2 linked regions of the Lonchura striata genome follow. The protein of the gene in region 1 binds, or shares a complex with, the protein of each later gene. Links are inferred from orthologs where the notes say so. Each region holds a gene or a part of one and is shown on either strand. Other genes may lie near its edges.

The links. Proteins that work in one complex are often made in the same cells at the same time.
Region 2: the proteins of YWHAH (region 1) and NUMB are in contact, whole or in part, in a crystal structure (PDB 5YQG), measured with the Mus musculus proteins. The link is inferred for Lonchura striata from reciprocal best matches to the Homo sapiens genes YWHAH and NUMB. Residues at the interface, in NP_035868.1 of Mus musculus: Arg57, Arg132, Tyr133, Leu177, Asn178, Val181, Glu185, Ile222, Leu225, Asn229; in NP_001129547.1 of Mus musculus: Gln274, Gly275, Ser276, Phe277.

Annotation. Positions count from the first base shown.
Region 1 is NC_134620.1:4,328,280-4,336,322, forward strand, and holds the start of YWHAH (14-3-3 protein eta), read right to left. Parts: upstream 3,469-8,043; 5' UTR 3,342-3,468; coding exon 3,255-3,341; intron 1-3,254. UniProt on the Homo sapiens protein: Adapter protein implicated in the regulation of a large spectrum of both general and specialized signaling pathways. Binds to a large number of partners, usually by recognition of a phosphoserine or phosphothreonine motif.
Region 2 is NC_134608.1:35,772,207-35,780,385, forward strand, and holds the start of NUMB (protein numb homolog), read right to left. Parts: upstream 3,510-8,179; 5' UTR 3,405-3,509; exon of another isoform or gene 3,298-3,404; intron 1-3,297. UniProt on the Homo sapiens protein: Regulates clathrin-mediated receptor endocytosis. Plays a role in the process of neurogenesis.

The DNA.
Region 1 (8,043 bases):
TCAAGCTAATTTTATTTCAAAACCTTTAGTTCAATACTCAAATTTATTTCACAGTGTAGTATTTCTCACGTGACTAATTTTAAAATTCTGTATCTCACACTACTCACGTTACCAATTTTAAAAAGTAAATTATTTTTTACCACTATGTAGCTATATTGGAAAAGCAACATAAATCAATAGAGGTCCTAAGCACTACCTCTTAGGATTAATACTGTCCAAAAACCCAAGGGCTTACACAGCTACAATTCTTCATGGTTTCTGGAATTATCTAAACCAAAGGGTACTCAATGCTGTAATCTCAGAATGCTGAAACATTTGTTGCATCATCTGAGAGCCTTTCACAGTTACACCCAAAGCATCTTTCTCCAGTGTGCTGAGAAGCAATTCTGTACCTACCGTGTGAGCTTTATTTGAAACAGCCGGAATCCTGGAGCAGCACTTAATGCAATGGGAATACCATGGAAGAATGCCATTTAAATTTGACTCTATTTGCTGTTAAAATTATTTTAATAGTTACAAATTAATGTACACAATTACTTGTAATAGCAATTATTTCTTTTTCCTCTCTTGTTTACACATTACAATCAAAAATACTGGAATTCTTCCATGAAAAAAAAAAGTTTACAACAACAAAAATTCATATTGAGCAGTAAATTCCTTTTTAAGCTACAAGTGCTACTTGGTCTAGCTTTTTTCATTATAGAACAACTGATGGGAATAAAAAATAAATGTTTTTCCAGCTTTACGCTGACAGATGAAACAGCAGCCTTGTCACTCTCCAGTGGCAGAGTCAAAAATCAGGCAAATGCACTTTCACAAAAACAAGCATTTGTTATTTTTATGTTTCTGAACTACCATGCTGTTAGCTAAATTCTGTATTGTAAAGGGTAGTAATATCTAAAACTGAAATTAATTGCTCACATTTCAATTGACACTGAAAGCACACTACTTTCATATAGCACCTTTAAAAAGTATCAGATGTGTTACAAGCAGAGATTTTGGAAAAAAAAAATAAACTTTTCAAATCAAGATACCCTGGAGAATAGATTTCTGAGAGTACTGATTTCCTTCCTTTTGGAGGAAGTCTAAATTCTCTGGATTGCACAATTACTTCAATATTAACCTATATGAATTAAAAACTCTCTGAATTATCTCTCTGCTATTTGCAGTCACTGAAACAGAAGTATGAAGTGTGAGGACAGCCAGCCCTCAGAGCATTCCACAGATTATGCTCAGACCTACAAAATCAACCTCAACACTGAAGAGCATTCTGGAAATTGCTGTGTTGGAGTGAACATCTGTGAAAGCCAAATAACAGATGCTACATCACAGACATGCAACAGTGTATGAACAGCTCTAAGTAAGGGAACTGTTGCTTCTAAACTCAGACTGCTTTTTGTATTTTAAATGTATCTGTAAGTTTCAAGACTCCACTTACTTACAAACTGTCCTTGAGCTCCCAATTACATGATCACACAACTTATTTGCAAGCAGAAGTGGCATTTCAGATGAGAATACCACAGCTCCAGGTAAAGCAAAATTTGCATAGCAATTAGAACAGTTTGAAGACAACTGGACATACACACTAGTTGCAAGTACTTTATTTACACATTTCCTAAAGCAAAGCAGCTGTGTTCTCATGGTTTCACATGTGCCCAGAGACCATACATGCACTGTAAGTCTGCAGTTCTTGGAGATACATAAAGCTTTCTACTAGCAACAGCTAGAAATTGTCTTCTTGAGCAGTACATTTTAGTGAGTTCTCTATTTCATCTTTTAAAATTACCAACTGAAAGAAGAGCTGTTACTATTACATTGTTTGTATCAAGAACTCTAGGGATAGAATTGTAAATACACCTTATTTAAACATCTTGTGTCTGTGGTATTGAGATACTCAGAAGTATCACTGTTTTAGAACTGGACTGGTTGTAGTATTTATTATAACATAATAGCAAAAGTGAACAAAAGCAGCAAAATTAGTGTCTTTTTGCTGCCCTCCTTTAAGGGAGGCGACATTCTTACAATAAAAATGTGGACTCCATTTGAAGCTCCTTTTCAAAATAAAAATCATCTTGTGCCTTTAAACAGCAGAACTCTCGAGAGAAACAGTTCCTCTTGGGGCCTTTGGTGTTCACAGAGGACAGATCAGCAAGAACAAACCAACTGTAATCTGATATGGAAAGACACTGCTAAGCATCCAGTGGCACTAACATTACCCATAACACTCAGATGGTGTAAATGCTTTGTTTTCAAAAAAGGAACTAGACGTAACAGGTTTGATCATTCTACAATTTTATTATGCACCAGTACAATCAGATCAGTACAAATAATTTTCGTTGCTTGGTTCTGAAAGGAGTAGAGTTGCAAATGTAACATTGTTTAAACACATTTCATTATTCAACAGGGTACGGAATGCACTGAGAAACTGTTACCCTACAAATAAGTGGCAAAAAGGCAACGTTAAAGCTCGGGAAATGCTCCTGGAACAAGGGGTAGCTTTCACACCTGGACGCAGCTACTACCTTTGAGTCACCGATGTCAGTGAGGCCGCTATTCGCGTCTTTCACGGCGAGGCAAAAGAAACGTCTAGAAGAGGAAGGGGCTCCTCCTGCTGTGTGCCCTGACAGCCCCCGCCGCAGTGCCCATCCCGCAGGACCAGCGCCCCAGACGCTGGCGGGTGCCCAGAGGGGAGACGCGCCCCAAGGTGGAGCCCCCGCGTGGGGGTGGGCGAGGACGGGCCCACGTGCGGCGGAGAAAGCGCGGCGCTCCCGCCGCCAGCAGAGGCGGGCGGCGTTCAAATGGCCGCACCGCGAGCCCGATTGGCGCGGTGGGAGACGGAGAGGAGGGCGTGGGGACAGCCACACCCCCGGGGCAGGGACAGCCGGGGAGCGGGAGGGCTGCGAGACAGCCTCCACGGGGAATGGGGGGAACGGGGAGGGGGAAGGAAACAGGTTTTGAGAGGGGGTGCTAGGTCCGGTTTGGACCGGCTACTCTTTGTCTCCTCTCTGCCGAAGGCAGGTAGTACTGGGCACCGCCCCACACGGCGGCGAGGTGTCCCGGCGGGATGGTCTGGCTCCTGCTCCCGCCCTCCTTTCTTCACCGCCACGGGTGGGACCCGGCGGCTCGCATCCTGCCCGGACCAACCCCGCCTCGGAGCAGCCCGCACTTCCTTTCCCTCCCTCCCCCGCCGCTACTCCCCTACACACTCCTCCCCGAGTACGCCCCACGGCCGCCACGCTACCGGCCCCACTCACCGACTTCATGGCCGAGGCCATGTCATCGTATCTCTCCGCCTGCTCGGCCAGGCGGGCTCTCTGCAGCAGCTGCTCTCGGTCCCCCATGGCCGCTTCCGTGGTGGCTGCCGGGCTGGGCAGGGAGAGCGGAAGGCGGGCGGGGATGTGCGGCTGGGCGCGCACGGGTGGCGGGAGCAGGAACTGTAAGCGGAGCCGCCCGCTGGGCTGTGCCGGGCCGAGCTGGGCTGTGCCGGGCTGAGCTGTGCTGGCCGCCGCTCCCTCGCCCGCCGGCCGCGCTCCCGGACCGACCGCGGCGTGTGCGGCTCGGAGCCTGGCGCTGCTGCCGCCGCCCGCGCCTGCGCGCCGGGAAGGCAACGAGGGGGCGGAGCCGCGGTGCTGCAGGGGAGGGGAGGGGGCGCCGCTCCCCCGCGCTCTATTTCTAGGTGACGTCACTTGCTATAAATAGCCATGGCGGGGCGCCGGCCGCGGGCCGCGCCTGCGCGCTGGGAGTGCTGCATTTTCCTGCTGCAAAGGTGGAGGTGGGCGGGGGGCGCGGGCACTGCGGGACGGGGCACGGCTCGGCTCGGCACGGCACGGGCTTGGACACCGACACCGCCTCGCCCGCCTGCCTGGCCGCGGCAGGGACACGGGCGGCACACGGCTGGCTGACCACGGGTCGGGGTGACCACGCTCCGCGTTCACGTGTGCGACCCTGCCCTGCCCGCGGCTGCTTTGTGCGGCCGCAGCCTGCAGTGGTGGCACGGCTGTGCCTCTCTCGGGGAAATAAGTGTATCTCGCATCCCGGCTGCCTCGAAACAGCCCGACTTGTGGGGGTGGTACCACGGACCAATTCTACTACCTTACCTAAGAGATGCAGCTAAATTCAATTTTACTACGTATTTTAATGTGTAATAGTCAAGCTCCGCTTTCGCGGATTGATAGACTACCATTCTTACATAAAAATTATCTCAAGGTAAGAACCTGGCACAAACAACAAACTGCTGCTGGTGTCCACAGAAACGCTGGGAGCCACGTTACTCATCTCTTACAATAAATCATAGATTAACTTTTCCCATTCAATCCTGGCCAGCATTTAAACATGCCTGCACCGCTGAAGGTACGGGGAGCTGCTGTGCAGCCGAGCGGAAGGTTTGCTCACCAGCAGAGAGTTCAGCACGGAGCACCTGTGGCAATTGAAGCTCACATCCGTCCTCGCCCCCAAAGACAAGGAGAGAAAGTCCAGCGGTACACCCGGGAAGCGGGGACAAGGCTGCTCTCACTCCTCCCGATGCTCTCCGCTACCCTCGGTACTCTCACACTGCTTCAAATGAGTCAATCCAGTCCCTTGTGTCAGACAAAAGTTTTTAGCCTTAACTCTAATGCTGCTGGCTTTTGTGCATTAAACCCTAATGCCAGTTAAAATAAATGCTGCCATTTTTAAAGGGATTAGATGAATATAGCTGTCTTGTTAAAAGACATAAATAAATATGACAAGTAAGAATAAACTATAGTTGTATGTAATAAGGCATGAAAGATAAAATTTAGCAAGTTATAAACTGATTGCCAGAACATTCTGGAAACAACTCTTGCAGTAGTGTGAAGCACATACACTACTGTGCATGCATCCCAGCAAGCCAAATGGGGCTTTTTCCTACTGGGATTTTGTTTTCACTGTTTCTAAGAGAAGGCAGTGACATCCAAAACTTGAACAGAATGGATCCCAGGCATCAGTTCAATTTTTTATCATAATTATTTTAAAACTTGCATTGATTTTACCTTAGAATAAATGTTTAGGTATAGACAGCAAAGATGTGATTTTGAAAATATATAGTTCCATGTCAAAATACAAATTTTAATGCATCTGACCCTCAGGCAAGAGTAGTGACAGATGTGCCAATCCTCCTTGCCCAGTTCACTTCAGTTGGGAACCTTTGCAGTTGTAATAATCTCTCAGTAGAGATTAGTCAGTTTGCAAAGCATTCCAACAGCTCTGAAAATATGTAGGGTTTACCAGCAGCTTTCTAGTCTTGTACAGCAGCTTCAGACTCCCCAGGGAAATGGATTACAAAGTATTTTTAAAATGAGTTATTCACCCACTGAACCAATCTGCATTAATCTGCCAAATATATGTGGATATATCTACACATGCACAAAACATTCTCATTAAATGCTTTGGTTTCTTTAATTGAGGCTTCTGTAAAACAGCTACTTTTCAGTCTAAAGCGTCTCAAAAATTCCTAACCTTGAATCCACGAGGTCATGTGTAACCTTGCTGCTCTAAAACCAGATACAAATCTAAATTCAACAGTTTCAAGAAAAAGTGCTAAAATAAGGCAACGTTGTGTGCAGCATTTCCACTCTGGCTGTAACCTAAAGAAAGGGAAGAGATTGCATTTCACATCCAAGGTCTGGGGGAGAGTACCTATATTCTCCTGTGCATACAGTGCCTAGTGCTCTGGATCTTCACCCTCAGTAGTGGCTCCACATTTCCACAGAGGTACAAATAAACAGAAATTAGAGCTCACACAGTGAGTTTTATAATCTTCTACAATATTTATGAGTCACAATGTCTTAAAACAAAAATGGAAAGGAAAAGGAAAAATCAGCAGGTCTTTTATTAGAGTGCCGAATGGGGTGCAAGCAGTGCCTGACTGTGGTTCCCCTGCTGAGCTCAATGCCAGGCATCACTCCATGATTCCCATCAAAGCTCAGGAATACTGCTCTCATGAGGCAGGACTGAGAATTGTTCCCAGAGTGACCACACCCAGCAAGAATTTGTAGATGGAGAAATTTATGGCGCTGAAAATTGCACTATGACCTAAGGCAGTGGCTCTGCTCCACAGGCATATCTGATTATTGGACAGCACCCATGTTCCATAAATAGCTCCCTGCTGAAATGCCATTCCAGTTCAGTGTTCACTCGCACAGGGGCACTGGGGACACCACAGCTGGCTCAGAGGCCATCTCCCAGTGCTGATGTTTAGCTGCAGGGACACTGGTGAAGAGGCAACACCACCAGGAAACCACCATGTGCCATTCCCAGGCTTTCACCATGGTGGAAAACCTCCCCTTGTGCTGTCCTGGAAGCACTGAGGGAGCACACACATTTCGTGCTGCTCTTTCTGAGAGTCACGGAACTACAGCAGTGCTGCTACAAAGTTCCTGCCACTACCATCCTCCTGATCCCTGGAGAAAATGATCTTCCCTCTCCTTTCTGCAGCAAGGAAATGTTTTATTTAGGGAACTGCTAAATGATGAAAGTCTTGGGGACAGGATACTGAGAAACAGAGAGAGAGAAGAGAAACCACCCACTGGTGGGGGAGGTTAACCAGCTTCCACATCACAGCAAATGAAGCAGAGACAACTATGGAAGAGAAAGAGATGGAGTTTGTTAACATCTGGTCTTGGAAATACTTGTGCCTGGCCCTTACATGGGGCATGATGCTCAGATAGTGCTGTAAGGACAGATTCTTCCAGAAGCTTAGGACTGTCTGTAATTTTTATTGTTAGAATTCTAGCAGCACATTCCCCCAGTAAAGTGAGATAAATGTGCATCAGGAGGATAGATGGTGTAACCAACGACAAGATCAGAGCACGAGATAGCAGTGGGCGTAGCTGTAGTGTGATGATTCTCTCCCAAACCACAAGGGACTGTAATTTCAGTGACATACTTCTAGCCAAGCCACACACCACAGTTTAACAAGCCTCGAGGCTGTCACAGTGTGTGAAAATATTCTACTCTTTGTCATATTTCAATTTCATATTAATCTTGAATCACTCTCACAGAACCTCCCTCATAACTCAAGGGTAAATCCTAGAATGAAGAAAGATGACACTGCCTGAGTGCTGCTCAGCAGCAGCAACAGGGTTCATGCCACGCACTGTGGTGAAGTACATTGTGTATCTATTAACCTGCATGGGAAGAACTTTAAAACAGAAGGGTACTGATTTGTATAAAACCTGTGAAGCTCTTGCTCCCACGTGGGAAAGGGTAGGTCTGTACCCCAAAGCCTATTTGGGATCACTGCAGTCTATTTAATACCATTCAGTATTCACACACAGTAGCCTTTTGCATGTTCAAAATCCTGTGCAGACACAAGCTGATAAACCCTCAGAACTCTCTGCCAAAATGTGCTATCTTCCAGCACCTGCTCATTTCAGAGTCCAGTGAGGAAACAGCACTATATCTGAATAAAAGATGATGGCAGTTTTTCCTTGCTAGAATGATTCAGGGATATGCACAGGGGGTTGTCAGGCATGCTCAGTTGTGGGGGTTCCTTTAAGCAGCAAGAACACTTTAGCTTTAACTCCTCATGAGCTACTTCAAACTACAGTGTTTGCTAGTCCTGCCCAGGCAGAAGAATGCAGTTTTACTCTTTATATAATGAGGGCAAAGTAACCAGAATTCACAAGCTTCAACAGGAAAACATGAAAAATCCTGCTTATCAGCAGCTGCCACCAGAGCACCATTTTGAAAAGAGGCTCTACAGGTAAGAGGAAAAAGAAACAACCTGTGTTAAGAAAATAAGAACAATACGAACACAAAATAACTCAATCCTATGATTTCTGGAACCTCTCCGAAAGACGCCTTGTGCTGAGCATAAATAATTAAGGACCCAGCATCAACAGCCACATTTAAAAAATAAGACCAGATCTGTCTTAACAAATGAATTTTCACTGCCCTTCAACCTTTACCAAAGTGGATTAGTTTGACTTAGAACTGGATTAAATCCCACTGAAAATGATTGATCTGAAACAATGACCTTTCACTGTAGAACACAACATGAAAGACTTTGGGGATAAGACTAAT
Region 2 (8,179 bases), on another chromosome or scaffold:
TTGAAACACTTTGCTATAAGTCCTTGTTAACACAGGTCATGTTGATGGAAATGTATGGTTCCAGAAAAGCTCCAGGAAATTTCAATCAGAGCCCCATCTCCAACCCCACTTCAACCTAAGTCCCATTTCCACTCCCTAACCTGGATGATCTGCCAGTTCAGATATATGATCCAGCTAAAATTCAACAAAACAAAAAAAAGCAATTAAACACCTGATTAACTCCCTGACTTCACTTAACTCAGAGCAACAAAGGTCTCCTTGCCAGCATCTGAAGATGCACAGTCAAGAAGGAGACACAACCACCACAGCTTCAGTTTAAGCTGCCAAGTCTATTGACAAGGCAGGACTATTAGGCAAAACTAAAATTGAGCTGCTTCAGCAAAGAGTGGTCACAGCCTCCTCCTCCTCCTATGCAAGCAATAACATTTGTATAGCCATGAAGTCAGTTCAGGCAGTTGATCCAACTGAAGCTTAACATTTTTCTGTACAGCCATTTTCAGCTGGATCAGCAAAGAAAGACTAACAGGGGAAAACAGATCCTTTTGGTGAAAGCATCGGCAGAAAAATCAAAGCTGCTGTGGTGGTAATTCAATAATATGACTGTAGAGGACATGTTAAGTCTTAGCTTGATTGAATTTATGCTTGGTATTCTGCAGGAAAAGAAAGGCAATGTGGTCTAATTTCACTTATTAATATTTTGAGATCAGTTGAGACTTAACAAGAAAGCTGTAATTTTAATATATGTTCACCAATCAAAGCAAACTCCAAAAACAAGACTAAGGACAAGATTTCATATGAGTTTAAACCAAGCTTGCTTGATAAGCTGGGAGAACAAAACTATAAGTGAACTTTCACCCCTCCCCTAAAGAAAGAACAAAGTCAGCAGAGTGTCAGACAAGTAGATGAGTGCAGTAAGTAGGATACAACTAAAAAGTCACCAATAAGACCAGCTTTGGCTGCCAGTCTCTTACTTGACAGCTTCTTTAAAACATCTTTTCCAGAGTACAAAAGATTACATTTCTATAGCATTAGAGCATTTTTTTTCCAGTGCTATGCAGTTCCATCAATATTACTAGTGGAATAAAACCAGCTATAGGCAGAATTCAAGACATACTTCACAGTGCTGTAATAGGCTCTCACAAACACACAATAAAAAATCTACTACAGTATATTTTTCCCAATAGCTTCAATTCCTGAGGAAGGAAGCACTTTTGCAAAGACTTCCAGTACCGTTTCAGAAAGTTTTTAATCCATCATACCCGTTATGGTAGGAAAGAAAATTACTTACAGATCATTCCGACACCAAGCAGCTCTATCAAACTACAAAATGTAAGATTTAGAAGTCTGGCAAGTTTTAAGAGCCCAATGTGGCTTGTTGGTTTAGGTTTCTTCCCAAATGCATAATGCTGCCAAACTGCTAACAAAAAATCAGAAGGTTTCACAACACTACATGAAAACATAAACAAACTTGTCTACTCTATCTAGTTTACATGCGCCTTCAGTTTCCACACATTTAAGCTAAATAATAAATGCAGGAAAGTAATTCCAAGGATAAAAAATAAATTTTCTGCTAGTAAGGATTTAAATTGTTCATTTGAATTTCATTTCTCATGTATATTTTAGGAAAAAAATATTTTATGTGTTAGGTTTAGAGTTCTGTAAATCTAAATTTTCACTGAGGCTTAAAACCAACACTATATGCAATTACAGATTAAAAAGCCTTTACTGTAGGATAACTCAGGGTACCAAGACTCCTAGAATCACAGGCAAGAATGAACACATCTGAAATTCATTGTTTTGGACTTTGTTCACATCCTTATTTCTTCTGTAAGACTTTTGCTAAGGGGAAAAAAACAGCACTTCCACAGACAATTGCCAAGAGATGAAGAAATGGAAAACACTCACTGATGAACAGAAAAACAATCTCTTTCTCTATGGTAACTATTAACTCCGCATAATCATAAAGACCATTTTAGCAGTAACTATAGATCAATAAGTCAAATAGAACTGAGTCAGAAATCCATTTAAATATTTACATTTTTTGTTACAAGTCATACTTAGAGTATTACTGTAGCCAAAGAGAATGACTGTGCCTTCCATTTTATTCACTCTCTTCATTCAGGAGCCTATCTTGATATGCAGAATGATCAAAAATACAAAACAAGAGCAAAATGAAATCCTTTAAATGGTAGAAATATACATTGTTGACAACTATAAGCTTCTCCTACTCCGGACAGCTGAATTAGGAAATATTGATAACAACACACAAAACACATCAGCAAACAGAAAAGCTCCCTTATCATTTCATAAACCATTAATGAGCAGGTTATATAAATCTACTGGACCGAAGGAGTTGTAGATCAGAGCTGCTGCAAGACATTAACTCTACTGTGAGGGATAAATCATTTCATTCTTGAAGAATGTTCATCTCCAAGAGCGCAATAAAAGGAATTAAGGGCTCTCCGAACGGGAGCTGCATTTTAACCCTTCGTGACCGACCGAGCGCGGAGCGGGGCGATGCTCCCCGGGCGCACCGCAGCCCCCGCCCCGCACGCTGTTGCTCATCCATCCCTCCTTGGCCCGCAGGACGGGCCGAACCCGGCCGCCTGTTCTTTGTGCAGCCTGGCGAGCTGCCGCACACGCACCGAGGCACCGGCCAAGCCACGAACCGGGTGAAAAGAGACGAGCCCCGCTGCCCACGGGGCCCTTTCCCCTACAACTCCCGCTGCCAGACCGGGACGTCAGTACCATCGCCCAAAAGCCTCGTCCCGACGCCTCCCGAAGTTCACAGAGCCCAGCCCCAGCTGAGACGGGGCAGCGGGTTCGGGAGAGCCCCTGCTGCCCGGAGCCCCCTCGCTCCCACGGCCACGCAGGGGCGGCAAGCGGTACAAAGCGCCCGGGAGCGGCCGCGCCGGAGGGACCCTCTGACGGAAACCTGGCCGGGATTCAAGGCCTAGGAGAGACCGCAGGCACGGGAGGCAGCCCCGGGAGAATCCCAGGGAGCGGCGCCGCCCCGGGGGTCGCTTCCTCGGGCCGGCGGCTCGGTGCTCCCCGCAGGGCCCTTCGGTGCCGCGGCCGCCCCCCGCAGGCTCCACCTGCGCCGGGCCCCCGCTCCGCCGCACCGGGGGATCGCGCCCCACCCCACCGCGCCCCGCCGGGGCGGGGGCCGGAGGGTGCCCCCACATCGCCCGCCGCCTCCGCACGCACTTTCCCGGAGTACCCCTGCCCCCCCTCATCCCCTCCGGCCCCTCAAGCTTCCCCCGCCTCCGGCGCCCCCCCCCCCGCCGCCGGACCCACCCGCGCCCCACGGGGTTTGGCACGGCCCCGTCGCGCTCGCCTGCGGCTCCGACCACCGGCCGCTGCAGCGAAGGCCCTTCCCCGCATCGCGGCCCGGCCGTGCTCACCTGCTACCCGCAGCCGCCTCCCTCCGGCGCCTCCTCCGCCGCCCGTCGCCACCGAGCAGCGCCGCCGCCGCCGCTCCGCCCCCGCCCCCCGACCGTCGCTCCCGCCCCCGCCGCCAGCCACGCCTACTCCGGCGGCCCATTGGCCAGGCGCCCCGAGGTCCGGCCTTTGGATTGGTGTGAGGAGCCGCCCGTCAAAGCCTCGGCCCCGCCCATCCCCGCCCCACAGGTCCCGGGTGGTTTATTCACGCCGGGGCTTTGGCGCCCCCAATCTCTCGCTGTCGGTTCCGATTGGCTGACGCGGCGGGGACGGCGCGCCAGGATTGGCTGCCCGAGGTGCCACTGCGGCGGTGCGCCCGCCCCGCCGGGGCTCGGCTGCGCGGTGCGGCGGGAAGGCGGCGGCCGCTGCCGCGCCGGGCTCGCGGCCGGGGAGCGCCCGGACCTCCGGGCCCCCCGGCCCCGGCGACCCCTGATGCGTCAAGGGGCGATGCGCCTCCCACCGCCCGTCTGCGGTTCGGTTCCGCTGTGGTTCTTATCTCCTCACGGCTGCGGCGGTGGCGACACCAGGAGGAGGGTTCCCGCAGCCCCGTTGCCACCTCGGTTACCCCCCCGATAAACCACATGTGGTGACTGCCACCCTCCCTGGGGGCTGCAGTGAGACGTGCTGCTAATGCCAGCTCTCCGGAAACCGTGATGTCCTACATCAGCCAGAGGCCAGGCTTGCACGAAAATCGCGAGCAGGCTCCTTTAACCTCCACGACTGAGACTGAGAACCACAGTATTCTCAGGATACCCTTCTTTCGACCCCAGAAACACTAGCATGCCTCCATTTTCGAAGTGGAGACAGTAGCAGGTGCTGAATTCAGCAGGGAGGCTGCGCTTCAAAGGGAAGTTACCCAGGGGAATCCTCTGGGAGAAGCACCCTTGCGACTGCACATACGGGGCTTGGCCTGAACGCGTTAACCAGAATGCGTATTTCAAACAGCTGCCTCCTCTCACCAGACTTTCAAGCAGCTGCTTCATCCAAAATGCAAGCCAGAACGATTCCCGGTGCATTCAGCTGAAAAGAAGAAGGGGAAAAAAAAAAAAATCAAAATGCAACGATTACCTGATTTTTCCCTTCATTATTATATTCTCCCTGCATACACCATCCCCCTTATTCCTCTTTGCTTCTGAATCAAGCAAAGAAACAGAGCAGCAAAGAATGCGGGCCATAATGTTAGCTGGCAAACATCAAGAAAACAAAGCAACTGAAATCACTGGGAATTTCAGAGCATGTGCAAAAATAATTTACCAAGTTTATACAGGAAGTGCTCAGGCAGAAGTATGAGTATGACACTGACTCAGTTTCAGACTGATGCTCTGACCCCCAAGTCACCCCTTGTTCATAAATTAAACTGAGAAGATGCAGGGATTCTCCTTACATCTTTTTGCATATCCTTTGCTTTCCAAGGAAAGCAAAATCAAGGCAGAGAGCTGCCTTCCCTCTCAAATATTCAAGTCCCAAGTTTTCTTCAGATTTTATGAAAACATTCCTGACTTATCATAGATCTTAAATACTGCGTTCCCAGTACCTTCAGTATAACACTTCATCTTATTCACAGTCTCTGGATTTCTGACAGAAATTTTTGTAAAGCATGATGCTCTTTATTTTTTATGAAAATTTAATTCTAAATTAACAACTCTCATATTATCAAGAAGCTCTGCTTCTAAATGAAAAGTATAAAGGAAAAGGCCAGGACATGCTATTGTAAATAAAATCCAATGTATGCTTCAGCTATTTATAGCTTTTACAAATATTTATAAGATAGCTAAATTCATTTGTTGCCATTACTGCTTCTCTGCTCAGCTAATAACTTGACCTCCCTGTATGGTCATTGGTGACTGAAGGGAAAGGGGGCCGTGGTGGGAAAGGAAAGGAAGATGACCCTAGAGGTCACTCAGCTGGACACACTAAGCATCCAACATAGCAAGCTGCACATTCACAGTGCTGCACTGCGGGTCCAAGGCACCTTCTGGGTTGAGTGTGTTGTCTTCCCACAGCACTTCCATGGGAGGGGGGGAAATTACTTCTCCAAGGTCTGACACTGGAAGAAATGCTTTAAATGCTTTGATCCTCATAGATAACAAAGAAATGGAAGATACTTCATAGCATTCACAAGAAACCAAACCAAATTTGCCCCTTATCACCTTTTCTTTAAGAACAGGACTCCCTGTGTAATACACAGGATTAATGGTCTTGACTCCCTGTCATGCCCACTGACTCCTGTCAACTGTGCCTTTCTAGCCAATATCCTTCCTGGACTCAGTGGGATAGCAGGAGAGTATGCTATTCCCTAAGGACCTGAGAATATATCACACACACATTCATGACAATGCAAACTCCTTTATCCCCACTGCAGATACCCAGAGGCTTAACATCATTCTACTCTATTGGGTATCTAAAATAATGTCAGTGATTAAATCTCCCTTCACCATGTTATCCCTTCTAGGAACAAGCCATACCAGTATAAATATATGCATTTCTATGTTCACAAAGAGGAATTCCATTTTTTCGGCAGTATATATAAAACAATAGGAGCTTGTGTGTCTGGATGAGCACTGGAAATGTTCAAAAATATTTCTATAAGGTGCCATATTGGCTAGTAGCAATACATATCTACTATGCGAAGCAAATAAGCAATTACTACAGGGGCTTTCTCCTGTCATGCTCTGAGCAGATTTGAACCAATATGGTTGCTAAACCAAGGCATTCTGTTTGCATAGTATTTACATCTTGGTAGTGCTGCATCTGAGGTGAGCAAGCAATTTCAGAATACTTCAGAAAAACTTAAATATAGGAAACAAAACATAAAGTCTTTTTGTAAGGCTTTTGACTAGGAACAGCTTACAGGAGAAGCAAGTGTTGAATAGGGTTGCCCTATGTTGGCACAGTGATATGTTAATCTTGAAATAGTGGGCATAAATGTATTTAATGAGCAAAGCTATGCAGTTGCCATCATTAGTACAGAAAGGATATGAGGAGCAAGAATCCTTTAAAACCTGCCTTCCATGGAAAAACATCAGCCAAACAGCTTGTCAAGAGCCATGGTCTGGGCATATCAGAAGGATATTCTTTAGCACAAGATTTATGCAGGAAGAGTTTGACTGTACTTTCTACCTTGATTCTTTAGATGTGATTAATCCCACAGGAGAAGTATTTCATTCAGGTTCTCTTTGCCTTCATTTTAGGATGGGGATTTTCTCCTCATTGCCATTTCTTTCTCTCCTTCTACTGGAGCCTTGAAGTCTGGAACTTTGTATTTAATCACTGCCTATGGAGTCACTGCAGATGGTATCTGCTCAATGCTACTGAATGCTAGATGGCAACTAATAAAAGCATAAAACCCCTCATAAAATTATTTCAAAATTTGAAAGTACACATGCCCAGTCAGGGGGTTGAATAAACTCAGTCAAAAGTCCTACTTAATTACATTATTTTAATTCAGCTTTAATTCCAATGTATTTGCTTTCGTGTCACATGGTACATGTGCTTCCAAATCCCTCCAAAAAGATAATTTCACAGGGAGGACAGGACCTTCTAATTATGATTTTTACAAATGTGCTTTAATTTGGTTGTTCCATGGCAGGGAAGGCTTCTTTTCTCAGTGGGGCTCCTTGTACAAGATAACCAGGCTTAAAGACCACAACCAGTCACTGAATAAGAAGATCCTCGGAAAGAGAGAAACAGCTGGAGGGAAGCCAAAGCTGCTGCCAAAAGATGCTTCAGTGAGTGAGTGCATTCACTCTGACGAGGGAGGCCAGAGGATAGCTCTTGAGAAACAGTTCCTGAATTAGCTTTCAGTCTTGTTATCTGGCAGTGAACTTTATAGCTTTCACAATGAGCAGCAGGCTTCAGAATCCAGCTGTGTCCTTCCAGTGATGACATAGTGGATGTAGCTAGGCTGTGTAAGAAAGACTGTCAGCTAAGCAAACCTGTTAGTGAAGGCTTGAAATGCTCTTTATCCTTACTAGGTATTAGTTTTGGCATGAGAACAAAACTGATGGTGCAAAAGGAAGGTCACCAGCAAAGTAATAATGAGAAGAAGGATTAAGCTGGGCTTAACTTTCTAATAGTGACTGGTTTACATTAATGGTTTGCCAGGAACACAGAGAAAGTCTGCATGATGGTGAACAACTGAGTATCTAATACACAGGAAACTGCAAAGAATTTTGCCCTTTCCACTCATTAGACTACTCATAGCTTTGCAGGGTCAGGCCTTACCCAAAATCCTCCTTAAATTTGAGATTTCAGTTATTTGAATGGCATAAGGTTAAAATATCAAATGAACCCTACATCTCTTTAAGGTGCCATTTACTTACTTCTTTTAAAGTCACTTGTGACTCTCTAATAGGTTGTACTCACCACGTTTATATGCCCTCTTAAAACACATGTGGCTCTTTCAATGCAGCTTATATGTTCATAAAATTCAAGAAATGTTGTGCTAAATTATAATTAAGAAATTTAATTGAGCCTCTAGTTGCTACTCTGTCTGTGTAAGCAGCAGCTAGGGATGACCTAATAATTCAGAGACCTGTATTACTTTCCTGATGTTTATTTAAAGAGCTGTACATGACACATATTTTTTTAGACAAATTCCTGTGAAATATTGGACAATGAATGCAAAGAGCACATAAACCTTGTGGCTACTCCTAAACAACCATCTCTGTAAGTGATACTGAAGCCCTCTCTTTTTGCTCCAGGTCAAAACCCTTTCTTGTGTTGCACAGAAAAATAG